Arabidopsis thaliana: one gene and its partner. The protein of the gene in region 2 interacts with the protein of the main gene of each other region in a pairwise test. Each region holds a gene or a part of one and is shown on either strand. Other genes may lie near its edges. The genes, in order: RR1 and AT3G28430.

Region 1 (15,086 bases), 4.9 Mb from region 2:
ACCTCGACCATCGAAACGCCAAGAAATACAAAATCAACATAGTTGATGATGGCAAGATCGACATCGATGATGATCCGAAAATTTGCAATAACAAGCGTAGTAGTAGTAGTAGCAGTAACAAAGGAGTGAGTAAGTTTTTGGATTTAGGGTTTAAAGTACCGGTGATGAAGAGATCAGCGGTTGAGAAGAAGAGGTTATGGAGAAAACTCGGTGAGGAAGAAAGAGCTGCTGTGCTTCTCATGGCTCTCTCTTGTAGCTCTGTTTACGCCTAAGTGTTTCTCTGTATTAGGTCATAATCAAGTGAGAGCGATTTTGATTAACTTAATTAGATAGAGATAATATGTAATGAATGTGTAAGTTCCTAGTTTTTTGGTTCCACTAATGTTTTGTGTTCATTTTCTTGATGAATTCAAATATCAACACTTTTTTTTGGTTCTTAGTCATTCAATGCCATAATAATGAGAATTGGTCTTAATTTTTAGTGCCTCAAATGTCATTCTCTGTGTATGGGCCCATATGGCCCAAGATATTGGGCTTTATCGGGGGAATCGTGAGGCGCGTGATTCTAGTTGTCTTGTCTCCGTCAACTCCACCATTTTTTTGTTTTTTGGTCCATTGATGTCGTTTTTCATTTGATTTGAATTTTTATATGCTTTTGAATTCACAACTGGTTTCAAATTCAGATTTTGTATGGTTTAGAGTTTTTTTTATATATATATCATGCTGAGGTTGTATACTTCGATTTGTTTTTTCATTTTATTGAAGGATGGCAATTTTTCGATTTGCACTTGGCAGAGTATCTGTTTGTGTGATTAAAAGTTGTTATGGTAACTTTGTAACAGGGACAGTGTAAATTTTCGATTTGCAATTGGTTTTGTTTTTCATGTAAGCGTATGATTCAACCTTAATAAGCCATCATTAATAATTAATAATGGTGGACCAACAAAATTTTAAGTAATGTTAAATATGGCAAAGTCATGAATCATACTTATAATTTTTTTTTAAAAATCTAAAGTGGTGACGAAAATATAATTCATTTAAATGGATCACTGGTGGACGAATGGTGTGAGTGTGACATGGCTAGGTAGAGCCGTGAACCTCGAGAATGATTCAAATTAACGGGGCAACTTCGTTCAACGGGGGACTTTCTTTTGACCAAAGCTTCTATTTATGTGTTTCACCCTTATATTATGCAGTTTCTTCGATTTAGGACCATTACTTCCATTGATTCCTTTATTTTCCTAAGCAAAGAGTACAATTTAGGAATAACTTGTCGATATTTTCCATAAACACCATTTCTTAATTTTGGAGATACGTTTTCCTTATTATTTTTCACAAATTCAAACAAAATCTTCATAATATATTTTAGCTATCAAATCACACTCTCAATACATTCAAAACTTCCATAAACACTCTTAGAAATCACTAAAATTTAGTAGACAGAAATATCAGTAAATATTTGAATATAAGTCATTTAAGCGAACATTCTATAAACTGTGTTTGGTATCAATGTTTTATAGCTAACGATTAGGTGTAAATTACACATTCACATAATTACTAAGATATAGGTTGGGGTTGCATTTTTTTATTAACAGAAATATATGGTTCATCTTGTAATTTGAAAACTTAAACCCACTATTTTATAATTTTGTCAGAAGAACAAAACCTTGTCTTTGGCTTTTGTTCGTAACCTTTGTTTACTTGATCAAGAAAAAACATTAAAATCCGACCAAACAAGGAAATATACACATTTTCAACGCGGACATAAATTTTCATTACAGCGTCTTACTAAGCTGTTCTGTTCTTTAACGCGGTCTCTTCCTCTCTTCAAAATTAAACTTCCGATTTTTCACCTTTTCATTTCCAGAATTTGTTTTTTAAAAAAGAGATTTTTGTGAGTGAAGAGATTTAGAGTAATCATGGGTTTAACTCGAAATTTCATTTTATGGATTCTTTTGTCATCTCTCTTCACGGCGATTCAACTAACGTCGTCTCAACGCAACACTCCACCACCACGCTCTAAAGACGCCGATCTCTGCAACGGCGTGTTCGTTTCCTACACTTACTTAACCGGTACCAAGATTAAACCAAACGACACGAAGAACCAGCCGTACCGGTTCGAATCAGAGATCACGGTCCTAAACAACGGCCGCGACGAGCTTAAATCGTGGCAAGTCTTTGTTAAATTCGCCCACCGCGAGATTCTTGTTTCAGCGACCAACGCTGTTCTCTCTGACGGTTCTAGCCTCCCGGCTAGCGTTGAGAACGGGACAATCTTCGCCGGGTTTCCATCGGCGGATTTGAAGACGGCGATCATGACGGCCGGCGACGTAACTCAGATGGAAGCACGTGTTGAGCTCGTGGGTACTCAGTTTGGAGTTGCTCCGCCGAGTGTTCCGCTTCCGAAGAACATCACTCTTGTTAATGATGGATGGTCTTGTCCTAAACCCACTCAACAAGGTATCAAAATCATCTGAATCTTATGACTTGAAATCTTGAGATTTTTTAATGTATTTTTTCATTTCTCGTTTAATTGTTCATAATTTTTTTAATGAATTGTTGCAATTTTAAATATTATGTGATCTTGGGTTGCTTATGAAGGCATTACCAAGAGTTTTAAAAGTCGAGCAATATGATCACATTGACCAGGTCTATTTGTGATCAATAGAGTGGTTGAAAAATTCTATTGTTTATATAGATTTCTTGTAAACTAAAAGTTTGAACTAGTCTTATTAGCAATTGAGATTAGACCTTAAGTTTACTTAGGAAACTATCTCATGCTTGGCTTTTCTGATAAATGTGTGGAATATCTGATTAAACATTTTGGAATTTAAGCTGTTCAGTTTGCATATTTGTTTTTCTTTTACTTCTTGATCATAATAAGACTCTTATTGCTGCGAGCATAAATGTTTCCTTTGTGTTTCACTGACATTTCTTTTCTTCTCTATGGCTTTTTCCAGGTAGTAATGTTCTGCAAGTATGTTGCACACCGAATCCGAACATTACAACAAGCAAAATTGGTCAAAAGTTCCTTCCTAGGCAAGAAGGAGATCTAACCATAATGTACGATGTGACCAGAGCATATCAGTCGAGTTACTCAGCGCAGGTCACTATCGAGAATCATAACCTGCTTGGTCGGCTTGACAATTGGGATCTAAGTTTTATGTGGATGAAAGATGAGTTTCTCTTCTCAACCAAAGGAGCTTATCCAAGTGTTGTCGATTCGTCGGATTGCATCACTGGTCCTCAAGCAAAATACTATAAAGATCTTGACTTCTCTAATGTCATGAGCTGTGCAAGAAGGCCACACATCATAGACCTACCCCTGACTAAGTATAACGATACCAATGTCGGGCGTATCCCATACTGCTGCAGAAATGGAACTATTCTGCCACGGTCCATGGATCCAGAGAAGTCTAAATCGGTTTTTCAAATAGAAGTTTACAAAATGCCTCCTGATCTCAACATCTCCTCTATAACACCTCCCCAGAGCTGGCAGATTAAAGGTAACCTTAACCCGGATTACAAATGTGGCCCTCCTCTTCGTGTCAGCTCAAGCCAGTTCCCTGATACAAGCGGTTTGCCTTCAAACAAGAGTGCATTTGCTAGCTGGCAAGTCGTCTGCAACATCACTCAACCAACTCCTCCTAAATGCTGCGTCTCATTCTCTTCTTATTTCAATGACTCAGTAATCCCGTGTAAGACCTGCGCTTGTGGAGGTTGCTCTAGCGACAGAGTGGCGCGTACTTGCAGCACAACTTCTCCAGCTCTTCCTCTTCCATATCAGGCTCTTCTAATTCCATTTGACAACCGAACCAAACTTACCAACGCTTGGGCAGTGTTAAAAAACCGGAAAGTCCCGGACCCATTACCTTGTGGAGATAACTGTGGAGTCAGCATAAACTGGCACCTAGCTACAGACTATCGAGGCGGATGGACTGCTCGAGTCACACTCTTCAACTGGGGTGATACTGATTTCGTGGATTGGTTTACCGCGGTTGAACTGAGAAATGCTGCACCCGGTTTTCAGAAAGCGTACTCGTTTAACGGAAGTATCATCGCGGTCAACGGGAAGAACACAACTGTTTTAATGGAAGGGCTCCCTGGACTGAACTATCTCCTTGCAGAGAAAGACGGAAAAAACCCGAGTGAAGACTTTCGGATACCCGGGAAACAGCAGTCGGTTATCTCCTTCACCAAGAAACTGACTCCTGGAATCAAAGTTGGTTCCAAAGATGGGTTTCCCACCAAAGTACTCTTCAACGGCCAGGAATGTTCACTCCCTTCTGTACTACCCACGAGCAACAGTCACAGGAAACATGTATCCACCTTTCTTCTCATCCTGACACCATTTTTGGCTCTACTGTTTCTTCGGATTTAAAAGTTCCAGTGAAGGACTTTCCTCATTAGCCAGAAAATATACAGTTTTCTTGATTCTTTCTAACCAGATTTGATGCAGAATTACTTCTACTACTAGTGGTGCTTTGTGCACCGTGTGATTCTTGAATTTCGTATGATCAGATTTTAGTAATCAGTATGTATACATACAAATATTGAACAGACAAATCCCTTTGTGTTTTGATCTTGAATTGCTTTGATTTCACGTTGTGGCGTTGTACTAAATTAAGTTTGTTCGAATTATTCTAAGCATTTACTCGAAATACATACTTACAAAACCCTAAACAGCCTCACTACATAAATGAGGAACAAAAGAATCTCCAAGGATATTAACCCCTAACATGAATAATTATTTCTTATATAATCTGCCATTTAAAATTTCATGCAGACTACATATATATCAAACAAGTTTTAGTAGATCGTCGTGTAAAAATGATACAGTACAGATCCGGGTAGTCCCTCCGGTTTATCGGTTTTTTTATCCAATCAAACCGGAATGTTATCGATGGAGTATGCGTCAAAGTCGAATTCGCCATCAACCGGTGCAATCCCTTCCTGTATATCAATAATTCAAGATTGTGTTTTTCAACTTTTTTGGTTCACTGATTTTTTTTGTTATTTAGTTGTAATTTGCATTATTATGAAAAAGACATGCGACCAATGGTGAGAAAGCGTCTGAGAGTTGTTATATATTTGATTTTGAACGCAAACATGTACGTTGACGGATCAGATTATGCTTCTATATAAGTTTGACAAAAAAAAAAAAATCAAATCAAACCTGCTTAAGAAGTGCGCTCATAAGATCTTCTTGATTACTATACTGCTCGTGAAACGCCATTGTTGCTGTATCCGTAGCCACTCTCTCTGATTTCACCCTCACTGAACCACCGTTTCCGTCTGCATAAACCTGATGGTGCTGTACCATTCCCGATGGTGGCTGCTGGTGGTTTCGGCCATGCTCGGTGGCTGCAACTGTCGTGTTGTGTCTTGACATGGACGAAGAAGAGTAGGCTTCTGAAGCGGAAAACGCAGCGGATTCTGAGTCCTGATGTGAGTCAAAGGCTATTCCAATATTCCTCAGATCCCAATCATTCTGTCTGGTGGTGAACATGTCGTAGCTCGGCGTAGTGAAACCCGCTTCGGAGCTGTTAACCTCTTCCTGGTAAGAAGTGGCTTTCCGAACCGGTACTGATATCCCTGGTGCACTTGCCAGCGGGAAACTGTTCACGGGAAGTTCTGGTTGGAAGTTGTTATAAGGCATCGAGCTTGATGAGTGTTGTGTTGTGAGATTAGTGTAACTTGTCGGTAACACTCTGCTGCTCTCGGGGATATTGTTCCTTCCAGAGAAACCACTTCTCTCGGAAATGCGGTTTGATAACATCGGCTGCCTGATGGATGATTGCGAAGAGGTTAGCATAGGCGGTGGTCCCCGAGGCAAAGACTGCTGACCCGCTAGAGGCATCAGCATTCCGTTGTTTTGAACACTATTTCCAGCTCGAACAGCAGCAATCTGTTGTTGAATACTCATTCGATTACCCATAGGAAGCTGCTGTTGTAAACCCGTGGGGACACCGTGAAGTAAGTTCATCTGTGGTTGCTGTTGGGGTTGTTGCCCGTGATGCCCAAGCCCTTCTCCAAATCTTGTTTTCGTGTTGTCAAAGCTGAAGATGCTTCTCTCATCCACAATGGAGGAAACCGGCAAACCTGACTTAGAGACCATCGCAGGCCGGCCTAAACCAGCGGCTTGAAGCTGTGCAAGACTCTGTGCAGGTAACTGACCTGTGACGGCTAGTGCTTGAAGATCAAACCCATTCAATGTCGAAAGAGGTCCGAAGCTCGCATCCTGACCCGTCATAAACGAGTTGTTAAGATTGCCTTGGTGCTGCGATACCCCTCCAAGCCGTCTTAGATATATCCGGTATTTCTGCAAGTCCACATAAAGCCGCTAAGAACATCTAAGCATTTCAATGGCTCATTTTGGTATCCAGTATAAGATTTATACCTGGAGGTGACTTGCTACGTTTTCTCGGGTTAGACCAGGAACATTCATCAGCTCTAAGATCTTTTTAGGAACCGCCTCTGCGCCATAGAAGATCATTTAGACCCTGAGCATAACAATCACAAATGCAAATGTAAGAAGTTTTAGTCTTACTCTCAACGCCGAGCTGATTAACAGCAGCAACAAACTGCTGATGCAATTCAACAGACCAGACGACACGCGGTTTCTTCAAATTCGACGCATCTTCGTCCTTATCATCTCCTTGCTCTTCTCCTTCCTCGTCTTTCCTCTTCCGTGAACTGCTCCTCCAATTGTTACCTTCGTTAACCGAGGATGAGTTATCATCCACCGCATCCTCTCCACCAGAAACAGCTGCACCACCACCACCTCCTCTATGTTGCTGCTGCTGTCTCTCGCCAGTCTCCTCAATGCTCCCAGAATGTTCCGGTACACTCCATTCACTTCTCCTCTTCCTAACTACATGCTGCCATATGTTCTTAAGTGCCTCCATACGTACAGGCTTGATAAGGTAATCAACCGCACCGTGCGTTACTCCCTTTAGAACCACACTCTTTGAATCATCCGCAGACATCACTAGTTAAACGAATACAAGATCAATAATCTATAAAAAAAGATTCAAACTTAGATGAGATTTGAGGGAGTAAAAAGAACGTTACTGATAACAGGTAAGTCCATCTCTAGACCAACATGCTCAAGAAGCTTGAAACCGTCCATGTCAGGCATATGAACATCACTGATTACTATATCGAATCCATGTTTGTTCTTCCGGAGCAGAGACAATGCCATCTCTGCTCTGTTGCATTTCGTTACTGCATGTCATAACAACCAAAATGTTTCATATCTTCAAAGATAAAAGAAAAAAACAGAGATTTGAATTCTGACAACAAGGACCTCATGAATTGACATTTAACCAAAACTCAAGTCAAAGATCAAAGACTCAAGATTTGAATCCATTTGAAACCTCCCCTAACTTATTATATACAATGGATCTACATGTGAATCTATCAGTAGATCAAAATGGTGTGATCTAAATGAAGAAGCTCGAGATTAATATGTGAATCTTAAAAAGTAACCAAAATGGTTTCTATTAAAGGGGGAGCAAAGTTAGTCAACCACCGATATGAAAACCATAATTATTCCTCAAAATAACATAATTTTCGAGAATGGACCACAAATAAACCCATCATTGGAGCAAGAGACCATGAACTCTCTTTCTCTCTCTCTCTCTCTCTCTCTCGTGAGATTAAACGAACAAAAAAAAAAAAAAAAAAATGAAAAGAGAAGATCTTGGTTTTTGGATACGAACCTTCGTAAAGACAAGTCCTAAGCATCCTCTCTAAGATCATGAGACAAGTTGGGTCATCGTCAACGACAAGAACTCGAAGACCAGAAGGAAACATCTCGACGACGGTCTCACCACCACCTCCTTGATTTCTACCGGAGCTGGACCCACCAGCCGATCCGAGTCCTCTTCCGTGACTCGGATTCATCATACCTCTCTCTATGTAGCTCGAACCCAAGAAACAAAAAAAGAAAAGCAGAAAAGAATATATACCCAGAAAGAAAGAGGGGAAATTGACGCGAGTTTTATTCGATTTAAAATTGAATATTATGAGAGAATACGAAATTGTTGGAGATAGAAGTGAATCTCTTCTGGGTAACCAAAAAAAAGAAGAAGAGAGAGATGGTGAGATGAGACTTAGGGAGTTGAAGAAGACAAGGCTTGTCTCACCTTAGAGCTCTTTTTCTCTGTTTTTTTATTTATTCACAGAGTAAAGCTCTCTTAATTTTTCCTATTCAATTTTTGTAACATTTAGATGCAGAAGAAAAAAAAAATGTGGTTTTTATATACTCAGTCATATATATTTTTTATTTACATATATGTAGAAGCTGACATGTCCTTTATTTTCATCATTCTCTCTACATTTAGACTATTGGTTTTATTAAATTTCATTTAGATCCACTCTCTTTTTTATTCTCAATTTCTTACAAGTTAGTTTTGTATATTATATGTACTATTGTTCTATATTCTGTTTTATTTTTCTATTTAGAAGAACATTTTGGATGTTGCTTTGAGCTCAAATTCTGGGTTATTTTGTGAAGTAGTGAAATATAGGGGTTGAATCATCAATGAAAGAAATATAGGGTAAGGAAATTTATATAATTGGGAAGAAAGTGGGACCAAAGACCCTTGATTCGTGGATCCAGCTCATGCATGAAAAAATTAATTAACTCGTCATATGTAAAGTTTGCAAACTCAAACCTTAATAGATTTTCATTAGTATTATTGTTGTTAGTTTCCTAATTTTTTGTTTTAATTTCCATTTTCTACCAATTTCGAATAGGAATTTGCCTTAAACAAAAGAGCAGCTGCATATATATATAAAAAATTCTTAGTTTTGATATGCCTATAATTTATTTACTAAACTACCCTTTGAATTTATGTAATTGAGAAACAATGCCTCCTGTCTATTGGACCTACATGTATTAAATTAAACGGCAAAATAAAAATATAATCATATCATTAAATTAAACAAAATAATACGTCTACGCACATTCAAGCATATGATTAAGGTACCAAAATACACCTAAGCATTTCCCATCATCACCTACATCTTTAGCTAAGATATAGTACATATACTTTTATCAACAAAAAAAAACCAGATATATGATGTATACATAACATAAGATTACTCGATGCCTTTTTTGGTGCAAATTAAACATATAACCTTCCAAATTTTTTAGTATGTATTTATTTCAAGTCGTGTGTAACTATGATTAGTAAGAATATAACTTATATAGTATACTTTTCATGTTTTAATCAAAAACAACTTGTAGTTCTAGGAAATAAATTGTATTAAATGGAAAATAGAAAAAAATTGTACGTTTGATTGTTGAAAACATATATATATATATATATATATATATATATGTATGTATAATTACAAGTTTACAACAACAGTAGTCAGTATATGGTGCAAAAAAAAACATGTGCGCTTCTTCTCTTAAAACGTTGGATACTAAATAAACAAAGAAATAATGCAAATGGTTCATCTGAATGATTAGTAACATCATATGCTACCCACCAATCGCCCTATTCCCCCGAAAGTATATTTTTAATAATGTATAGGATAACAAATCATATTTGACTATTCGATTGCTCTACGACATATTTATAAACACATACAAACCAGTAACTTATTTATAAATGTGTAAATTTGTCAACTTCAATGTAAACTATATCTAAGTTATCCAAGTTCAGTGTATACTTTGCTTAAATAGTTGTTTAGCACCGCCGACATGTCTTATCTTTTTCAAATTAACGATAGTTTTAAGTGTGACATACGACTTGTTTCATATGTGCATCGATACCTAATTTCTTACATTAATCAATGTTATCAAGTAAAATTCACTACTTGTAGTATTTAGAAGGAAAACTCAACAATACGAATATTAAATCAATTAAGTATTTCTTTAATTTTTATGAACTATCAACTATAGTGTATTTTCTTTTGGAAATACTGTACATGTGTATATTTCGAAGAATAAAATGAAAACATTTAATGATAAGAAAAAAACAAATAAATCACGTTGCTGAGAAGCTTTCCCTATTGCGACACGTGTCCACATGAAATGGATAAGATCACTCGAACCATTTGCATCGACCTCTCCATCTATCGTTGTCTTCATTTGTTAAATTTTCCCTATTTCAACAATCATTTTAAAAACATTAATAGAAATAAAAAAAACGAAACTATTCAACATTCCAACTTGTAATTGTTATCGTCAATAGCCACTTATTACCACGAGAGCTTGAATTTGAGTTTAAGAAAGATATACTCATAATTTCATGTTTAGTAGCTTTTTTTTCTAATAGCTTTCTTTACTTTTCCTTACATACGATATAAAACGTAAAAACAAAAAATTGATGATTAATATAACATAAATTTAACTGCGCCAAAAGCTATAATATAGAGAAGGTCCCAAGAAAGTAACCCGCTGAAACCGTATATTCTCTGTAAAAAGTTTTTACTCTTACGATGAGCTTTTTGAGTTTTTAATTTATATTTTTCACTTTATTGTGCTTAGACAGACATGAATTACAGATCCTCCTATTTTATTTATATTTCAAGTACCAACTATAGGTCCATGTCACCAAAAAAGGTTTTGTAGAACACAAATGTTTCAGCTTTTTATGCAGAACCAACAACTTTAATATGACTAACATTTGCACACCTATGGAGCGTTATATTAACATTAAGTGAGTAAGCTACTGAAAACTTGTTGAAGTTCTTGATGGAAAATGCACTCAGCAAATTGGATAATCAAAATACTTAGATCCAAAACATACAAATGCGTTAAAACAAAAGTATAACTTGATATGCTCATATACGAAGGACCATTTTATCCAAAATTCTCGAATGTGAATATTTCAGAATCGATTGCATGTGATGAAGACAAATTTTCATATTTTGCATTGGAAGTATCTGTTTAAGCAACTAAATGGTATAATGGAGTTTTTTTTTTCTTTTTCTAGATAATGCTTTAAGGTCAAATATTAATTCACGCGGGCCAATAGAATATTGGTTCTTTTTCGTCCTAATTATTAATCCATATGGATTTTGAAAAGTAAATTTGTATAACCAAATTTAATTAACGCCTGCCAATAGAAATGTGGAGTTATGTACATAACTTATATATTCATCTACTTGATGGGTGTCCTATCATGTGCCCATAACTTTTGGTAGGAAGTTGTAACTTGTATTACTAAACACCAATAGTTAGAAACTGAACAACTTTTTTCATTTATTTCAAACTAATCGTTTTGCAAGTGTTGTATACACTGAGTTACAATGAAAAAATTACAATAAAAAAACAAACAAAATCACACTAAAATAATAATGAACGTTACATTGATGCAATGATTTAGAGTATAAATTGGATTTGATAAGCCTTACATAGGAGTTAAAATGTGAAATTTTATATTAATTACACTAAACATCTGGGGAAAAAATATAGCCCGATGACAGAACCATTCCTAAAACTCTTTTTGTTGTTTGTTAACTAATGTTTTAGATTTCTACTAATTATCGTTATGTCAAACAGACAACTATATGTCTATTCAGTTAAAAAAGAGAACTGTTGAGTTTGAGTGTAAGCAAAAGAATAGAGTGGGAGAACAATGGGGTCGACGGCTAAAAAGATGAGCCACGTGTCAGTTCAGGAGAAGAAAAGAGTATGGCAGCCATAGTGTTACGACGAACTAACCGCAGCAACATTGCGACACGACTCCTTTGCTTTTTCTTCTTGCCAACCTCTCGACAAGATGGGACTAATATTGGTTTCATACGATATGTAATTCAAAAACTGTTATTTCACTTACAAATGTTTCTTTAAAAAAATACAAAAGTTGCGGTCCTATACAAAGAAAAAATGTTGTCACTAAATTTTAATCTCCCAAAGAAAGTGAAAACGGACATGAAAATGTACAATTACTAATCAGTAGATGGTAATTAATGTTTTGACAAAAAAAAATATAGACGGTAATTAATCTTAACTTATGGCTAATAGTAATATCATCGCTAATTAGGAGAAAGGAAGTATCTAAAGTCCGGAAAAATGACCTGCAACCGCCCAAGCCACTCTTCAGCCGCTCGTAACAGCTTTTCCGTTCTTTGGTTTAAACTTGTGGGACACGAAACCAGAGATGGGCTGAGATTGGTTTGGGTCGCTTGTACCTGGAATCATTGGTTTGAACCGTTTGGGTTTGGAATGTGTCTTGAGTTGCGTCTTGGGTCTTGTCACATGTGTGTGTGTGTATATGTATGTGCAAGAGATGGGTGTACCTTCTGACTTCTGAGAGCTGAAAACTACAATGACAGGTTCGAAGATCTGCATTGTCAAAGCTCACATAATTATGTAATGATAGCATTTTTCATCTCAATGGAGAAAATTAAGATTGTTGGAAGTTACGTATAAATAAAAGGTAGTAATCCATCAATTTCACAGCTGTACTCAAAAACCTAACATTTGATTTTGATAAACAAAAATGATAGTTAAACGTTGAAACTCACAAACAGAGCAAACAAGTTAATGCAAACAACAAAAAGAAAGAATCTTAAAATGGCAAATTGGCAATGATACTTGATTCAAATGAACTTCCTATATTCCGACAGGACTCCTTGTTGTGCTGATCCAATCCCACACATTGTTGTGTGTTTCGTCATCTGAACTAATACTATCTTCCAAAACATGAGAGCATTTTGAAATTGGAAGTATCTATCTATAACCGAACAAAGAGCATCCAAGACATAACTAATCATTTCACATATAATTTTTTATTTTCTTCTTCACAGAAAGAAAAAAAGATGAATTTTGTTACACCATGAATGAAAGAAATGGAAGCTGTACATTAATACAATAGAAAAGCTCGCTCTGTTCTTGAAACTCACCACCTTAAAACGTAATTTTTCTTTTTTTATCTTCTTCCTCTCGCTCTCTGACAACAAATTTTATGAACTTATTGACAAAAAAAATTCGAAAATCCAATCGTATCGTAACCTCATGCACTCTCTTCTTCTTTTTCTTCTTCTTCTTCTTCATCACCATTTTATTTTACTATAATTACCAACTGTAATACGACTGAGCCGTCGCATCACCCTCGTATATGCTACCACCGGCGAAGCAAGACGAAGGAGAACTCATGAGTTCTTGACAAGGCTCCGGTGATACGTCGTCTGAGAAACCAGAGACGTTGGAGCATATCCAAGATTCTTCTGATCGCGTTTGTAAATGAATATCCGCGAGGCATATCGACGTGAAGGGAGATTCTCCGATCCCGGTGAGATTCCCGGCTACTCCTATATCAACTCCGGTGAAATTCCGCATAACAATGTGTGTCACGACTGGGAGTGCGTCCCGGTCGAATTTATCATCCGGGTGTGACCCGGTGTGTCCGTTGGCTACTATGGCTGTGTCAACGCTTGTGAGATCGACGTCGGAGATTGTGATATTACGGATGTATCCTCCTCTGCCTCTGGTGGTTCTGAAGGCTACACCTATGAGTGAGCTGTGTATGTTAAGACGCTCAACGGTCACATCCGAGACTCCGCCTGACATCTCGCTCCCGAAGGAGATTCCAGCACCGGTGGGAGACTTTAATCTGAGATTCCGAATATGAACAGCGGTGGTTGGACGGCCGTAGTGTATACCGTATTGGTCCCAACCACTCTTGAGAGAAACCGCGTCGTGGCCAACGTTGATTGTTGAGTCCTCGATACAAACATTGTCCGAAGAATCTTGAAAAAAAACGGTTCAAGAAATTAGCTTTCAAACGGTAACATTTTGTAGTGATGGAAAAGAATGAGGAAATGGTATATACCTGGGGCAACTCCAAGAACGTGGGGAGAATCAACGGATGTTTCGATCAAAACTTTGCGGATATGAATCTGACTGCAATAAACAGGGTGAATGTTGATTGCGGGCGCGTTTAAGAAGGTTAGATTCGATATGAGGATGTGTTTAGAGGAGACGAATTCGATGATATGAGGTCGGCTATAGTTCAAGGACCCGGACTCAAGCCACTCCCACCATGCCGCACCTTGACCGTCAAATGTCCCATTTTCACCTACCAAAAAATAAAGAAGCTTTGAGTCTTAATGTTGTCAAGCCAGAAACTTAAGGTAATGATGGCATGATTTTGTTGTTTACCGGTGATGACTACGTCTATTAGATTGTCTCCATTGATCAAACTTCTGTACCGCTTTCCAGGAAGTTCAATTCCGCGACCATAGGACGGTAGAGGACTGACAACGTCCCAATGCGACGGATCCTAGCACATTAGACAACAATTGAGAGACCGTGTTACAAAAAACTTGTCTACCAAACACTTCTTAAAGAGCTATAGATACCTAAAGAACACTATTTAGCTTTACAAGATTTGCTAGAGAGGTCACTCATACCGGTGATGCAAGAATTGTTGCTCCTTTCTCCAAGAAGAGAGTGAGATGGCTTGTGAGATTGAAGCTTCCGGTGAGCCATTTCCCTGGTGGAACATAAAGCTGAGCACCGCCTTTATCCGCAAAAGACTTGAGATAGAAAACAGCGTTCTGGAAAGCAATAGTGTTGAGCGTCTTCCCATCACCAACCGCTCCAAACTCGAGGATCGAAACACTATGAGGTCTAGGGTCTAACTTAAAATTCTCCTTGCAGATGGCATTATTGCCTTCCCCACTGATCAGTAGAATAGTGAATGCCAGTAGCCAGACCAATGCCACCTGCATTACAACTTGAGAAAATCAGTCTAAATTCGACAAAATCAGATCAAAACTGATGATGTTAGCAAATCTTATATGTGATGACTAACGAGAGTCATATGTGAAGGGAAACAAAAAACGTTTGCGTAAAGGAAATTCCGGGAAAGCTAAACGTAAATTGAGTTTGACAAGAATCATATCTGATTAAAAACATGAACTCTCCTATATTTTCGGTTTCCATGGAAGAAATTCAGGGGAATCTGATAAGTTCTCCTCTTGGAAAACCTCATAAACAGAGATAAGAGTTCATAAACTTCAAACTATGAAACTAAACAGAAGCATCGGTCATAAGAAAAACATCAATCAGAACACACTGACATGAAGATCCAAGTAACAGAGCCTGTAAGTACAAA
Region 2 (16,777 bases):
ATATCATACAATACAAAAAGTAAGTGACTTTGTTTTGTGAAATAAAGTGCTTTTGCAATGGTGAGAAAATAAAGTGTTGTTATTGTTAAATAAGTTTTACGAAATTAGAAACTTATATTAGTGAATATTTGAATTATTCAAAAATGTTATGATATTTTTGAGACCTTTGAAGTCGTGATGAGATTTTAGGGAGTCATTATGAGATACTCGATCAAGGTCGTTATAAGACTTTTTAAGACTTTTTGGATATGAGATATCTGGGGTCGGTCAGGAACTTCTGTGTTTAATCACAAGACCTATGTGAATTGGTTGTGTGAAAACGGAATTGTATGGTTAACAAAAAAAATAATTATTAACCATAACCTTGGCACTGAACGTACTATGAGTCTATATAAGACTAGAAAGTAGAAACTGGTCCAACTACAACCAACTTAAGTTTACATATCGGGTCTTTAGGTATGCGTTTATAAACGTTATTTATGTAACTTACGATTGTTCCAATTCTGTTTTTAAATTTGAGTATGAACTGCAAATGCATGATCATATGTTTTTATCAAATTTCTGAGTTCAATTTTGATATAGCTTTAATCTTAAAATAATTAAAATCATATTTTTTTTTCTTCTGGATATTAAGATGTTCTGGCCACAATCCGTAATCCACCAGATCCAAAACCACATCATGTAATATTAGTTTTGTTCCAAGCGTCACTCGAACCGACGACATCTAAACGTCGCATAAGGTATTTACCAATTGAGCTAATGACACTTGGTAATCAATTACTATTAAACATGAAAAAACAGTTTTAAAATATGTTTGGTCATTGCAAGATGTGTCTTTCATTAATAACTTGTCAAAACTAGGTGGTTGGTGTGGTCACATATGTCTTATGGACTTAATGAATGTGTTAGTATTGGCCTATTGGGCTTAAAAAGTCCATCTCCTTCTGATCTCACTTCTAAACATAGAGCTCCATTGAAGGAGTTTGGTCCTCCATGTGAAATGCTTCCACCAGCTAAAAGACTCATATAATTGATCGTGAAGTCGTTGAATTTACTATGGATGATTCAAGAATCACGGAGAGGTGCACGTGCCAATGGGGATCTCGAAGATTGAAATGACCGAAATGTCTTCTCTAAGCACAAGAAAGGGATCCATATTTTTTTTTGATGTACCCTATCGGCTGATTTGGTTAGCTTTGTTAGGAATGCACCGAAGTGTTATAGAGTAGACTTCTCTCGATACAGGTAGAATTGAGCTACCATACAGTCTGATCCGAATTTATAATGCTTTCCGACTAATTATAAGGGATTGTAAGGCCGCCTACATTTCTAACTATCATGTAAACCAGTTGGACAAAGACCCAAGTGACAGACTTCCCAAACAAATGTATTTTTGTTTTTAGGGATAATCGAACTTAGGTATCAGAGTTTTACCATTCACCAAAACTTTCTTTTGCCACTAAACAACATAGGCTTGGGCAGGGATCCACATTTTTACACTAGAAATTGCAAGTGATCTTTGTTCATTATGATGAAAGAGCTTCGTTCCTTTTTTTTTTTTATCATACACTCAAACACCCAAAATCCATAAGTGTGAATCTCCGACTCCACATGTACAACAAGTTAATTTTCTTCACTGGTTTATGTCATTTAATATTTTGACTTACATAGAAGATTTAAAATTTCGAAGAAGATTATATTTTCGATTTTTTGTTGTTATGTAAATTTTTTGAATATACTTTTGTGTTCTTATGGCATTACATCAAAAAAAGAAGATGCGATCTTTTGAGCTATTAGCTCAAACTCACAAAAGAAACGAAGCCAAAGAACGAACAAAACCGAACGAATCTTAAGATGAAAAAAAGATTGTAGAGAGAAACTCTTAAACCAAACAAGTGACTTCCCGAACTAAAAAGCTACTGTCAGAGTCTTTTGGTCTCATCTTCTGATCAGTTTCTCTGTCTCTACCTCGTCTCGCATCTAGCACCAAATGTTGTCTAAACGTCGTGATGAACGCTTCAACTCTCTCGTTCAACTCCTCATTGGATAACCTCCCTGGCTCAAATTCATCTTCTTCTCCATTATACTCTATTTCTTTCTTGTGAAACAAGCAATCTTTCACAGTTTCCTCAAATTTAGGGCAAACTCTTTTCGTCTCCTCCACTAAAACACACTTCTTGATCACTTCCTTTGGCTCAACAAGTAAGAAACCTTGGTCAAAACAAGCCGGTTCCACCACCACCCTTGTCTTCTTCTTCTTAATCTTATTCTTTTTCTCTCGCATCATTCTCAATCTACCTCCTCGACGAGTCTTGAAATCATGACTCCTCCCGAGGTTAGGACGAGTCGAGGTAAAGTAAACGGCTAAGAGAACGACGTTGAGTATAAGAAACACCAACGAACGCCATTGCTCGATCAAATACGATACAGAAGAGAAGTGTTTAAGACAAGCCATTGAAAGAACAACAACTGCAGTCAACAATGAAGTACACATGTTCTCTTCCTCCACTCTAATGTCTCTCTTCATCTCCATTGTTCTCTCTATATCTCTCTACTTTGCTCTGTTTCTTTTCTCCTTCCTCCGATCGATTCTTATACGAAATTTCAAGATTCGTAAAACAAATATTTGGTGGGTCCGATTGTGGAAGACCAAATGGCGAACAGAAAGAACAAAATGAAAATGAAAAGACATGAGAAGGAGAAGGAAGAAGAAGGTGGAGGAGACAAAGAACAAGCATGCCCTTCAAATCTGCTCTTATTCTAGACATATTATTATTACTTTCTTCTCAGGCTTTTTCTCATTTCCTTTGTTTCTTATGTTTTTCTGCTTTTCTTGTTCCCTTTGTTTTCTCTTGGGGACCATTTTCCTTAAACCAATCATTTTCAACTTCCACTATATGCAAATTTAGTTTCAATTTTTTTTTCAATCTTAGTTTCCGGAATAAAAATAATTTTAAATAAATTCTTCTATTGCTTGTGGATCGCTTCTTGCAATGTTTACCAAATGTTACGGCCACGGATGCGGACACCCATAGTTTGGTCTAGTTTGGTCTAGTTTGGTCTGTTGTTGTCTTGTTGACATAGACCGATCAATTTATAGCCCACAAAAATATTATCCATGCGGACGGATCTATTTAGGTATGTTTAAATACGTTTTACAGCTCTACTAAAATACGCAAATATAATGGCCAAATAATATCAATTGGGTTATTGTTTTTTAGGGGAACAAAAAAATTGAGAGAAGTGTTAGCTACTCAAAGTTAAGTTCAATGGGAACTCTCATGCAAAGCTGAGAGGAGGGAACATTTTTGCAGGATGTGAAAATGTAATGAAAACTTATTTTTTTGGTTGAAAAATCGAATAACAATTTTTGCTATAAAAATAATAATTGAGACACATTACACGCCTGCTCCTATCTGTCATGTTAATTCTCTCATGGTAGTGTGTGGCCCCATGTTTGTTCTTCTTTCCCAAACACATGCGTTATCTGTTTTGCAAATGTTCTAATCCCAAAACCTCGAAATTTCGAATTGCATTGAGCAACTTTTATACAAAATTGTTTAACATACATTTACTGACAACTTTTAAAATCTAGATTCATACAAAAAGTTTGAATGTTTATAATTTAATAATAGTGTGTCCTAAACTCAAGAACTTACATTAGAAATCGTAATTCGAAAGTTAAAGCTATTTGCTTCTAATGGTAGGCTTAAGACGGCTTCCATTCTTTTCTTTTTTCTTGTTAAAACGGCTTATGAGTCTGTCCCTCCCATAAAGCAGTTTTAGGGCACCAATATAAAGAAAATTTTAGAACTATTTATTCAAAAAGTTTGCTTTGGTTAGTTGGTTATGTATTTCATCACTGAGTCATATGTGTTTGGTTTCATTCCTTCATGTTACATTTTTTGTTGTTTTGTGAAGCGGGAGTTGATTTTTTTTTTAATCCATTTGTTAATTTTTGGTCCAATTTTTTTTTTATTAGGTATTACCAATAAAATTTCCAAATTTTTGATTTAACTTGGTTATTAGGTAGTACGACACAAAATCATACACTTTTCTTCTTCATTTGCATGAGGATTGGTTTGATTCCGTAGTTACTTCTGCAACATTTCACCATCCACTTGCGGTATATTAGTTCTTTCCGCAAAACTAGGTGTCAAATGCCTCAAGGTTTGGTGCCCAATGTTGTGATATATAACAATCTAATAATGCATGTTTATGAGGAAGAACATATCAGCTGAATAAAGTTTGTTTCTTTTGGAGCTCATTAATGAAATGAGAATCTCCATATGTCGCAAACCTACAATATCTTGATACATAGGTATATGGTCGTTAGATGATATGTCGATGAAGCAAATGGTATTTTATACAATGATGTTACATTAAGACCACTATTACAAAAAAAAATAAAAAAATAATAAACGAAAACAAACAAACAAAAAATGGACACGAAACTTGTGAAACAAGGTACCTGAAAACTGGGTACGTTGCAAGAATCATGGAAGCTGCTCCTAAGAGTGCATCTAAATTGCTTGGAGTTTAGTATATTCAAGATGGGGAAGATCATTACCAAACTTTTGAATGTGAGATCTCAAACCCGACGAAGACAAAGTCGATCGATGAAGGCAAGGTATCGGCAGTATGATGTTTCATTGATCTTCTAGCTGGTTTCTTTCAAGGTCAAACAATGGCCTTAACCTTCTTTCTACCTCGCTGCATTGTAGATCGATCTCACCTGCAACCATTGAGTAAGCAGAGTGGCAAGATTCATCGTCCCTGAATGCTAATATCCATCTCCCATCTACTAGACCTTTGGACTTGAGCTTCTCATAGACTCCTCGCTTTGTTGGATCCAACAACGGTAATGTAGATGGTCGGATTCTCAAGTGTAGCCATCTCGGGTGCTTTTCATCTATTCGGGGCTGAAAAGCAAACAAAAGATGATAGAGATCATGTACTATGTTAATATTTCAGGCCTTCCTGTGGATCTTCACGGGCATTTTCGTTAAAGAAGAAGACAGTGAAGGTGATTACGTACTTTGCAGCCGGCTAAAGGTGCCGTTACACGGACGATTCCATTATCTGGATCAGCAAGGACAATCCATCCAGACTCACCGGATGATAATGCTAGAAATGAGAAATCTCGTTCCTTGCCTCTTTCAAAGGCAATCCTACAGGGTACAGCATCAACTGCACCAGGAAATTGCAAATATTAGATTACCTATGGATACCGAGACAAATCAATCAAACTGGAGTTCTAAGAAATACAAGAGATGACATCATGTAATTGGTTAGATGGTGTAAGTAGGAGAAGTATAAAAGCATCATGCGCTAACCTAGCTTCAGTTCGGTGCCAGGTTTGGGGACTGATACATCCAGACCAGCTCTTGTGGCACGAGAAGTTTCAGATCGGTCGGCTGGAGGATAAATAGGCGGCTGCTCGGGTAAGGACCTACCGAGCGAGAAAATTTGGAGTTGATGAAGAAGCACGAAAACCTATAAGGAGGAAAGGGTTGATAATCAAATGTCCGTATTCATATACATAAACGACAAGCGCTGATAGAAATATAAAGAGAAAACGATTAACATACCTTTACCACCTCGCACATTCTTTCACCAGCTGTGAATGATGATTCGCTAACAGAGTTATCTATAAAAGATCTTCAGGTGTTAATGGTTTGCATAAATAGGGTTTCAACAAGGAATGTCCATATCATTCACATTTGTCATCAGCTAATTGCGTAGAATGTGTAATAAATATCCTACCATTAGAAGAGGATCTATCCAGCTGAAGAAGAACAGATTTAGGCTCTTTTTGAGGGGATGGAGCTTCGATTACTGTCAAAAGAGAATTGGTATCAGAATCATTGAACATATTCTTACAAACGAAATCCAACGTATCCAAAATTCGCTTCTTTACTTGCCTCTTTTGCACTTTCTCCACTCATCAAGCAGTACCCTGATGAGTAGATCAGGCCAGATACCTTTAATTTCCCTGGTAAGGGAATTTTTGCATTTCTCATACGAAACCTGCGATAAGCAGGAGGTAAATAATCAAGAGAGGGAGAGGGGAAAGAGAAACAGTGGCAAACCGAAAAAAACATCTTGAAAGCAACATACATTCAGCATCTTGAGATGTTTACGATTAAATTCTGCCTCACTATAAGGAAGCAATTGGCGTAAAAGCCATCCTCCATCCCATAATGTTTCTGCAGATATGTTTTCTCGGCAGAGAAGAGTGACCAATGTATCCACCACCTACACCATATTTGTAATTAAATTAAGACAAGAACTTTTGCACTGTTATGAAAAAGAACCAATCTTTAGCATTTGGAATTTCAGAAGAAGCTAGGCTAGTAGGTCAGGTTTACAAACATTCATATTTACCTGATGTCTATGTACACGGGGGCACCTTGCAGCCCCAGGCAATGAACAGCACACTCCAAACTGCTCCTGTTGAAGGTACTTGAACGAATGAGTCAATCACAGAATAATACAACACCAAAGAGATGGAGTTTAAGAGATGCAGTGAAGTACCTCCAACCTCCGTAGATACCAATCAAGTTCACTACTTAAGCCATCTCTCATGGAACCATTTCGCGGTGAAAATAGTTGTTCTTCACCAGTGTCCTCCCCAACCAAAGATTGCTGTCAGAGATAGCTACCAATTAAGTTTTGAATAATAAGGAAAAAAGGTAGTCCATATTTTTTGGTCCATGCTAATATGCTTTAGTAGATGGTCAAGTAAAAGGTATTAGTAACAAAATCCATGCAGATGAGACTTTCCCTGGCAAAATTTGCTGGAAAATATATTACGCACAAGAATAAAGGATAATGACAGAAACTCACCAGCAAAAGTTTTTTGTGCTGCTTACGCTGAGGAAGAATGCCAAAAGCATCTAGCATTGACTCTTCAAGTTCTACCAAAATCAGAATTTAAGACGTCAATACCAGAAAAGGCAAGAAGAATCTGCACAATGACAATGCCACTGCCAATACCTTTTGTCTGCAGCAGAGTGGCTAGCACAAACAAGGAACCCTGAGCTTGTACATCATCTCCTTCAGAAATATATTGAAGTAAAGTCTCCCTATTTACAAAGAAAAAAGAAATAAAAAAACACATAAGCTTAATAGTAAAAAAAAAAAAAAGGACAATACTAAGACAGCAACTATCCCAACTTCATTCAAGGTCTTATTTGCTAACACTTTACCTAAACGTCATATGAGAATTGTTGAAGATACTTTTCGGAGTATCTTCACTGCATAAGTGGGAATTTCCATCGTCACTCATGCCTGCCGCAGTGCTTGAACACTGTTGATTTGCCTCCTCAGTAACACCCTTGTCTGGATGCCCATTTACATATGTAAGGCCTTCAGGAGCCAAGCTGCTATTAGGTTTCACTAGGGAACTTGAAATGAATGCTTTTACAGGGCAGAAAAGAGTAGCAGCAGTCATATTTGCCAAATCTTTGATTTTAACTATCCGCAGGATGCATGAAAGCAGATAAAGAGAAGTGACAGGATCAACTGATATGTCCTGAAATAACCACAAAATCAATACTTTAGTGAACTAAAAATAGAACTCTGGCAAAAAGTCAAACCTAACAAGGGTAAAAAAAACAAAATCCCAAAGGAACAAATAAGTCAACCCTGAAAATAAAATTAAGAGGAAAAGGTGATATTTGGTACATTTACAGCCTCGGAGCATAAAGACGGGAGAAGAAGTGGGAGAGTTAGATGCTGCAGAATGTGATCTGTTATCAGCCTCCCGATATCAGGTATGCCAGCAGAGATAACATCACTAAAGTAGTACAAGGTGTCCTCAATCCCATCAACGGCAGAAAACAATTTTCCACCTGAATCCGGAGATGGGCTTCTGTAGCAAAGATTAAATGAAAATCTTTCAGAATACAATTTATCCAAATCATACACAAACAAAATAAGTAGGTAGATGAAAAGGGGTTGTGATAACTTATTATCAATTTTACAAGCTATTTCCCTGGGAAATGAAATTGCACTGAATCTTACTTTAGAGTGTTCAAGACCATTGCACTTAGATCCATGCATTGCTTTTGGAAAAATGAAATTAATTTTGAAAAGTACTCGGTGTGCGGTGGACTAACTACATAATCATTCACAGATTCATCGCCAACTGCAAAAAACAAATTAAAGGCATCAGAAATGTTGCTAAAGGTTCTGATTACTTTTATCATACAAGTGACAAATCTAAAGAACTATTAGAAGTGACTGACCGTGATATACATTAAGAGTCAGGGCACGAACTGCAGTGCGTATCATGTTCTCTTCATGAAATGCAAATTGTATGCCTTCGACATAAAGGGGGAAAGAAACTACTACATCCTAGACGCAGAAACGCAGAATTAAAATAAGGCAGAAAAATCCATAAAGGAATATAAAAGTTAAAGGAACATGAAACAACAAGAATACTCACGTTCTCGGTCTTCAAAAGCAACGATATTGTATGCTTGTTCAGCTTCCCACTAACAGCTCTACATAAAACAAACAAAACAGTTAAAAGACACAATCGGTAAGTACTTCCTGAAGCCAAGATATCAGCCGGAAAATTTACCTTAAGAAGGATATGTAGTAAGATAGAAGCTCTTCGTGTTGGAAGTCAAATGTATATGTTATCAAATAGTTTACATATTCGTTACTGAACAAGTAATCTGCAAGGAGTTTCAAAAGAAAATCATCAATAGACTATAATCATGAGAATTCTCATAGAAAAATATACTGCATCTGATAAACTCACAGATGGCTTGTTCACTTTTTAGGTTTTGGATCATTATACTCATGGTTTGCAACAACTGGACAGAAACTGTTACTGTCTTGCTAACCCTCAAAATACGTACAAACTCTCCCATTACTTGTTTCTCCATAAAAAATCTGCAACAATCGCAAATATTAACAAATGCCAAAAGAAAAATCCAAAGGTGGCTGACTGATAATTAGCAAAAAAGACTCACTCAAAGAATAAGGGGTCATGCTGATCCCCATAAGTTAATATCTCCGCAATCGATCTCAGTGCCTCGATAACGAGATCCTTCAAAAATGACACCCGGTAAACAGACATCAAAGCCTAACAAAACAACAATGCCAAGACAATGTCCACTAACCTTATTAGCCTCGTTTACTATCTGAATCTTTCTCAGCTGGTCAGTCAAATACCTATATAAAAACCAAAACTTTCAACACTTACTATGTTTCATCATCATCTGGTATAACAACTAATGTCGTAACACTACGATCACAATGAACTTTCTGAGAACAAATCATTCTCCTACAATGGTCAACATAGTCCCTTTGACCCCTGAGACTAGGGAAGATGAACTTATATAGTTTCCCTACAATGGCACCACTCAAATCATCAACCCTAGCAAACTACTTGCAAACTACCAATTCAACAAACACCCTTAAAAGAAACATTTTTCCCCCACAATCAAAGGATAATCTCAGCCACAATTCAAATGAACCAAAAGAGAGATAAATCGGAAAAAAAAACTGAAACTTGTTGTAAAACCAAAGGCGATCAAAGAAACCTGAGTTCGGCTAAGGAGAATCGATCTCTGGGTCTTAAGAAGGAAAGCCACATGATTGTTTAAATCAATCCTTTGGAAAGTTCCAGTCTTCTTCTCTGGATCATCCTTCACTCTCGAGAAAACCCAATTTCCATTATTGCTTCTCGTCGATTAAACCAAATTCCACAAACTCTGACGAAATCTCTGATCCAGGGATCAAAATCATACAAAATCAAATCGTATATCGAGGGGAATAAAAAGTTCGAATTTTTCGAATGATTGTTTAGATGTTTCTTCCGGTAAAACAACAGAGATTGATGACGGCAATTGCGAATTGAAGCACCGATGTGGGTTGAGAGCTGGCGTTGGATTTGGATTCGGATTCGGATCCGGGTCGGGTTCAATCTCGAATTCAAAGAAAGAATCTTCAATTGAAAGATCCGTCTTTCGCATTTAATTTAATTTAAGGGGAACATTTATTTTTCACGTTGGACCCTCTGACTAGAGAAGAGGCTTCTCGATAATCAATGACTCACAACTGCCACGTCATACACATTATTATTTACAAAACTAAATTGTTTGTTGTCATTATAACATTGGTGATTTGCAGAAATGACCATGTTTGATAATTTATTTAAGAATATAGCATTTTAATATATAAAACTAAGTAAATAACACTAGAGAGGGATGAAAAGTTAAGTAACTCCTCATTAAAACATGAGAACACGCGCGTGAAAAGAGAAGAAGAGTGACGTGATCCTTGACACTCTTTTCGGTTTATGGACATAAATAAAAGAGAAAAGTGTTGGCTAGCGTGATGGTGGCGAAGATGGCGATGATGGTAATAGTAACAATGACAGTACCGATGGTGATGGTGACGACAACAGTGGCGGTGCCGATGGTAATAGTGATGATAACAGCGACGGTGCCGATGGCGATAGTAAGACAACAGTGGCGGTGCCGGTGGCGATGGTGACGACAACAGTGGCGGTACCGGTGGTGATGGTGACGGCAACAATGGCGGTGTCAGTGGCGATGGTGACTACAATGGCGGTGCCGGTGACGAAAAGATAATTACAAATATATATTGATTTAAGAAAACTAAACCCTAAGATACTATACATGGAACCCAAACAAAAATCATTAAACGAAATGAAATCATCTCAAGTTTCAATTTTCAAAAATCTAGCAGCAAAATAGAATAGTACAATGGTGATGATAGCTTCGGTGACGATTTTCCGGTGATGATGACTCCGGTGACGATTTTCCGGCGATGGTGGCTTCGGATACGATTTTCCGGCGATAATGGCTTTAAAAGTAGTGGTGGTTGTGGTGGTTGTGGAAGAAAAGAAGAAAGAAGAGAGAAGATGTTCATGCAGAAGAAAGAAGAAGAAGAGGATATAATTGTATTTATTACATATAATATACACAATATCACCTTATGGTTTTTGAAGTGTTAGTTTCCAAATTATTAAATTTTTTTAGGTTATACTTGCAAATTTCCCTTATAATATTTACAAATGGCAAAAAAATGATTGGAATGACTCAGAACTCTATCAAAAACGTTTACTTAGATTTAAACTAGCTAGTAGTATAAAGAAGACCACTCTATTTGTTTATTTCCTAGTAAAGTAACGAATTATTTCTTCTTGAGATTCTCCCACAATTGTGTGCCAACATCAAACAAAACAATACAAAAGTTTATAAAGGCATGACTAAAAATGTTATGAAGTTTTGACCATTGTATTTCACATCATGAAGTTTTCTTGTTAAGCTTGTTTTAGTTAAGTATTTCATGTATTATTTCTCACCACGATACATCTAATCTGACGTACTGAATTTCAAAACTTTTGATTTGTAGCATTTTATCTAATAAATTACAAGTTAATTCTACAAAAATTGAAACCCATTCCATCGAATGCGTGGTTTAAGTCCCAAATTTTTATCTTCTAGATTTTTAAAATTTTTAATTTTAAACAAAATTAAAATAAAAAACGATTTTACAAGAGAAAGTTTTTGCCTTTTCGAGAAGAACCGCAACCTTCCCACAATCTAGAAATCAATCTCCACTTCTCAACAATGGAACAAAAATCTTTTATATCTCTCGAATTCAACAATGGAACAAAAAGCTTTCCTTAAAACAAAATTTTTTTATGTCAAACCATACGAGCACAAAAGACAGATAAGTCTTTTGTTATTCTATATTTGATTTGAGCCAGAAGGAATATCTTTGCCAAAACGACCAAAGGCAAAGCCCATTTTGTGATTGCCAAGAGCAACTTATCAGTAAAAGGTTAAAACATAGTCAAATTAAACCGGTAAGTGTTGGACTTTGGAATCCAAGATAATTACCAAGAGAACCAAGGATTCCACCAAATAAAAATATATCTATTGTTGTAGTTTAGTATACAAATAAATATTTTATTAAAATAATACTAAATTAGTAACTAATTTCATTTATCACCAAAGTGATTACAATAGAATAATCTATAACTTTTTGAGTGCATCTATAAAAAATGTCACTTAAGTAATAGCCACAATCCATTAGTATAAATTTTCGTTTGTTGAAAAACGAAGGCCACTAGGGTGAAAGATGATTATGCTAAGGTATATTCACATCAAAATATATGGTGGTTCTATCATTTTCATTGTAGTTGTGTTCGTATATAGGTTAGGTTAGTTAAAAACTATTTAAACTTTGTCATGAATATTCCTATATAAAAGTGCATATTTGACCATACCAAACCCATACATACCTAACCGGCTAAACCCCATTTGCTCTAACAAAAGGTCTACGGTGACAACACCACACGCACGCATATGCAATAATAGTATTAACTATTAAGTATATGAAATACATATGAATATATGCTTCTTCTTTTTTTGTTAACTAGGGAAAATCTAGAAATCTAGACCAATGCCTAAACTAATTTTCGAAATACAGAAATCGAATTTTCTTTCCACTAGAAACGTTTACGGGTGGCTAATCTGTGACTGTGAGACATATACATTTCTCATGATATGTTGATATTAAGTGAGGTTGAGGCTGTGTCAAAAAAAAAAGAAAAAAAAAAGTGAGGTTGAGGTTTTGAATCTAAGCAAAGAAAGATCATACACAAACTCCATTGAGATGCAAATTTATCTCTCCTAATCCACTTAGATCATCCTCAAGGACGTATACATAATGTATTATGAATTAGATATTTCACCTTCGTGTCCACTACACTTCATTGGTAACAAATACTCTCTCTGAATTTGAGGTTTTGAGTTTTGCACATCTATTAAGAAAAAGTAAATTTTATATTTTTAGTTATTATTTTGTTAGTTTAATAATATTATTATTATTTATCTCATTCTTTTATTGGTCACAAACTAAATTAATGATGATACTTTTACAGAACATTAATCTTAATGGAATAAATTAAAAATTCAAAACATTAAATTTCTTGGAACAGATGGAGTATATCATTAGGACTAATGATTGCAGATAGTGTGTAATCCAACTATATCATTTGGACTAATAATTGCAACTAGTGTTTTAAGAAGAATAAGTTCTAGCTAGTAATTATAAATGACGTTTATCGAGATATCTTGGATAATGGAATTAAACTTTTAAGCGTCTTCCTTGTATCCAATGAATTTTTATAATTTTATCAAATTAAACATGCCAGTTTTAATGCTATTGTCATCTTGTTGTTATAAAAATATCACACTCCAAAAAGATTGTAAGAATCCTTAAATATCAAAATTAACCAATAAAAATAACTACCATCATGGTTGACAGAAAAAAAATTTAACTACCACTCGGTTCACAACAAGCATATGATTTACTGCAAAAGCTCACCATAATATATATGAATCGTTTCCGTGACTTTTTCCAAAACAATATAAAGACGGTCGTAAAACTTTATCATCTGCGTAAATTGTTGTAACAAAGTTTTTTTAATTGTTTCTATTTATGTGATTTTCTAATTTTAGATCTATTATATTTATCAAAACTTTAGGGTTTTATATGTTTATTTTTGGGTTTTTTGAGTTATGAGTCCATGAGTTTGCTCAATTTGAGCTTAATACTGAAAACACGGTTCTGTAGAATCGAAAAAACAAATTCGGATAAAGGATATATCACATAATATTTGTTTCGTTTTTCGTTGTTTTGTCGACGGATCATGGAAAGGAAATGACAAGTTTTATGGATAAGAGTGATTTTGCACCTTATTAAATAGGAAGTCGCTAACCATGGGAGTTGCTAATTTGCGTAGAAGTCTATCTCCACTACATAAAGAAGTCGAAGCTGTACTCTGGATGATGAAGTGTATGATTGGTGCCGACAACCAAAAAATAACTTTTTTTACAGACTGTTCAGACTTGGTGAAGATGGTGTTTTCTCCAACCGAATGATTAGCATTTTCAATATATGTGGAAGAGTTCTAGAGCGACAAGGAAAAATTCACAAGTTTCCCTATATTTTTAAATTCTCGAACTGCAAATGTTATAGCGGACAATTTGATAAGAAAAATTCATACTGAACCGTTACATATTACATATGGAAATAATTTATTTAAAAATTGGCTTTTCTAACTTTTAAAAAAAAATTTGATGATAAAAAAAAAAGTTACAAATCCGAAATTAATTATGAAGAAAAAGAAAAGAGTCCGAAAATAATCAACATAATGTTTATGTAAAATGATCTATCTATAAGATAAGTCAACTTAAGGTAAAAAAACAAATTATATTTCAAATCGAACAAACTAGTCGAATAAAAAAGAAATTCAACTACAAAAAAGACTAGACAATGATGGAATTTTGTTATAATTTGCTTTGAAAACTTTACTTAAAAATTACTATAATAATAATAATAATTAAAAAATGACATCAAAGTCGACGACTACTCTATAATCCTTGCGACGACCGTTCAACACGTCTGACTTACATATTGTCTCTCTGCAACTTTTCATTGGCAGATACACAAAATCTTTAATTCTTAATCCAAACCCAGAAACAACCTCTGAAACCACTTCATCATCCATGAAAGAGATCGGCTCAAAACCAAGAAAGTTACTTCCTTTATGCTTCATCATCTTCCTCTGTTTTTGTTCCTCTGTTATGGCTGCAGATGAAGACGACATAAGATGCTTAAGAGGACTCAAAGCATCTCTCACAGATCCTCAAAACGCGTTGAAATCATGGAACTTCGACAACACAACTCTTGGGTTTCTCTGTAACTTCGTTGGTGTGTCTTGTTGGAACAATCAGGAGAATAGGGTTATCAATCTTGAGCTTCGTGATATGGGTTTATCTGGTAAAATCCCAGATTCTCTTCAATACTGTGCGAGTTTACAAAAACTTGATCTTTCTAGTAATCGATTGTCTGGTAATATCCCTACAGAGTTGTGTAATTGGTTACCTTTTTTGGTATCTCTTGATTTGTCAAACAATGAATTGAATGGTGAGATTCCTCCTGATTTAGCTAAGTGTAGCTTTGTGAATTCTTTGGTTTTGTCTGATAACCGGCTTTCGGGTCAAATCCCGGTTCAGTTCTCGGCTTTAGGGAGGTTAGGGAGGTTCTCTGTTGCTAATAATGATCTCTCAGGTCGCATTCCTGTGTTCTTTAGCTCACCGAGTTATTCCTCTGATGATTTTAGTGGGAATAAAGGTCTTTGTGGTCGTCCTTTATCTTCGAGTTGTGGTGGTTTAAGTAAGAAGAATCTTGGGATAATAATTGCAGCTGGTGTGTTTGGTGCTGCTGCATCAATGTTGTTAGCTTTTGGGATTTGGTGGTATTATCATTTGAAGTGGACAAGGAGACGAAGAAGCGGTTTAACCGAAGTAGGAGTTAGCGGTTTAGCGCAGAGACTTCGTAGTCATAAGCTTACTCAAGTGTCTTTGTTTCAGAAGCCTTTGGTTAAAGTTAAACTTGGGGATTTGATGGCTGCAACTAATAACTTCAACTCAGAGAACATTATTGTTTCCACTAGGACTGGGACTACCTATAAGGCGCTTCTTCCGGATGGTTCAGCGCTTGCGGTGAAGCATTTGAGTACGTGTAAGCTCGGGGAAAGGGAGTTTCGGTATGAGATGAATCAGCTATGGGAGCTTCGTCATTCTAACTTAGCACCGCTTCTTGGTTTCTGCGTTGTGGAAGAAGAGAAGTTTCTTGTTTACAAGTATATGTCTAATGGGACACTTCACTCGTTGTTGGATTCAAATAGGGGTGAATTAGATTGGTCGACTCGGTTTAGGATTGGTTTAGGTGCTGCAAGAGGTTTAGCTTGGCTTCACCATGGATGTCGACCTCCAATTCTACACCAAAACATTTGTTCAAGTGTGATTCTCATTGACGAGGATTTCGATGCAAGGATAATAGATTCAGGGCTTGCAAGGCTTATGGTTCCCTCGGATAACAATGAGAGTAGTTTCATGACTGGTGACTTAGGAGAGTTTGGTTATGTAGCTCCTGAATATTCTACCACAATGCTAGCATCATTAAAAGGTGATGTATATGGACTCGGTGTTGTCCTCTTGGAGTTGGCTACAGGGCTAAAAGCTGTAGGAGGTGAAGGTTTTAAAGGGAGTTTGGTGGATTGGGTGAAACAGCTTGAAAGCTCAGGTAGAATCGCTGAGACATTCGATGAAAACATTCGAGGGAAAGGACATGACGAAGAGATCTCGAAATTTGTTGAGATTGCTCTTAACTGTGTGAGTTCAAGACCTAAAGAGAGATGGTCAATGTTTCAGGCATACCAGTCACTGAAAGCTATTGCTGAGAAACAAGGCTATTCGTTCTCCGAACAAGACGACGACTTCCCTTTGATTTTCGACACGCAAGAGAACGAGAAAGTGTGAAAATGAACCTTTTATGATACGAGGAGGAAGTAAGAGTATAATTATTTGTTGTCTATATCATCTTGTACTACTTGTAGAGACACTATATGTTATTGTAAAAACAGAAATGTATATGTTATTTGTTTTCTCTTGTGTCAAAGTCTTTAGACATGTTATGTGTTGCAAGTGTGTCTTTCTATAGTATTGGAAGAGTGACAAAATAATTTTTTCACTTGTATTTTCTTTTAAGAACAAAAAGAAAGTGAACAACAGGATAAAGAAGATGTCTCTGCAGAATCTTACTTTAGGGGTCTGCTTCTCGATACAGTCAAAATCAATCCCAGAAAAGAAGCTAAAGAAGGCAAGAAAGAAAGAGAAAGACAAGTTTTTAGCATCTATGGTCACTCACTCCT

What was found.
Region 1: the proteins of AT3G28430 (region 2) and RR1 interact in a two-hybrid assay, tested with the Arabidopsis thaliana proteins (one large-scale study listed by BioGRID).

The regions. Positions count from the first base shown.
Region 1 is NC_003074.8:5,748,938-5,764,023, reverse strand, and holds RR1 (response regulator 1), read right to left. Parts: upstream 8,204-15,086; 5' UTR 7,912-8,203; coding exon 7,725-7,911; intron 7,669-7,724; exon of another isoform or gene 7,310-7,668; intron 7,228-7,309; coding exon 7,075-7,227; intron 6,992-7,074; coding exon 6,551-6,991; intron 6,478-6,550; coding exon 6,401-6,477; intron 6,323-6,400; coding exon 5,177-6,322; coding exon of another isoform or gene 5,171-5,176; exon of another isoform or gene 4,954-5,170; coding exon 4,885-4,953; 3' UTR 4,581-4,884; downstream 1-4,580. Other genes in the region: GATA17 (GATA transcription factor 17), read left to right, coding at 1-272; COBL8 (COBRA-like protein 8 precursor), read left to right, coding at 1,920-2,460, 2,961-4,381; AT3G16850 (Pectin lyase-like superfamily protein), read right to left, coding at 13,043-13,716, 13,800-14,045, 14,129-14,249, 14,380-14,694.
Region 2 is NC_003074.8:10,652,792-10,669,568, forward strand, and holds AT3G28430 (CLEC16A-like protein), read right to left. Parts: upstream 9,982-16,777; 5' UTR 9,614-9,981; coding exon 9,561-9,613; intron 9,190-9,560; coding exon 9,138-9,189; intron 9,065-9,137; coding exon 8,988-9,064; intron 8,908-8,987; coding exon 8,774-8,907; intron 8,688-8,773; coding exon 8,591-8,687; intron 8,511-8,590; coding exon 8,453-8,510; intron 8,362-8,452; coding exon 8,253-8,361; intron 8,153-8,252; coding exon 8,029-8,152; intron 7,877-8,028; coding exon 7,690-7,876; intron 7,538-7,689; coding exon 7,212-7,537; intron 7,089-7,211; coding exon 7,000-7,088; intron 6,921-6,999; coding exon 6,850-6,920; intron 6,649-6,849; coding exon 6,538-6,648; intron 6,454-6,537; coding exon 6,388-6,453; intron 6,259-6,387; coding exon 6,121-6,258; intron 6,031-6,120; coding exon 5,925-6,030; intron 5,839-5,924; coding exon 5,767-5,838; intron 5,651-5,766; coding exon 5,592-5,650; intron 5,497-5,591; coding exon 5,337-5,496; intron 5,191-5,336; and 5 more. Other genes in the region: AT3G28420 (Putative membrane lipoprotein), read right to left, coding at 1,883-2,533; AT3G28450 (Leucine-rich repeat protein kinase family protein), read left to right, coding at 14,568-16,385. UniProt on the Arabidopsis thaliana protein: Involved in membrane trafficking and vacuole development through membrane fusion at the vacuole. Required for membrane trafficking machinery and accumulation of flavonoids in the seed coat.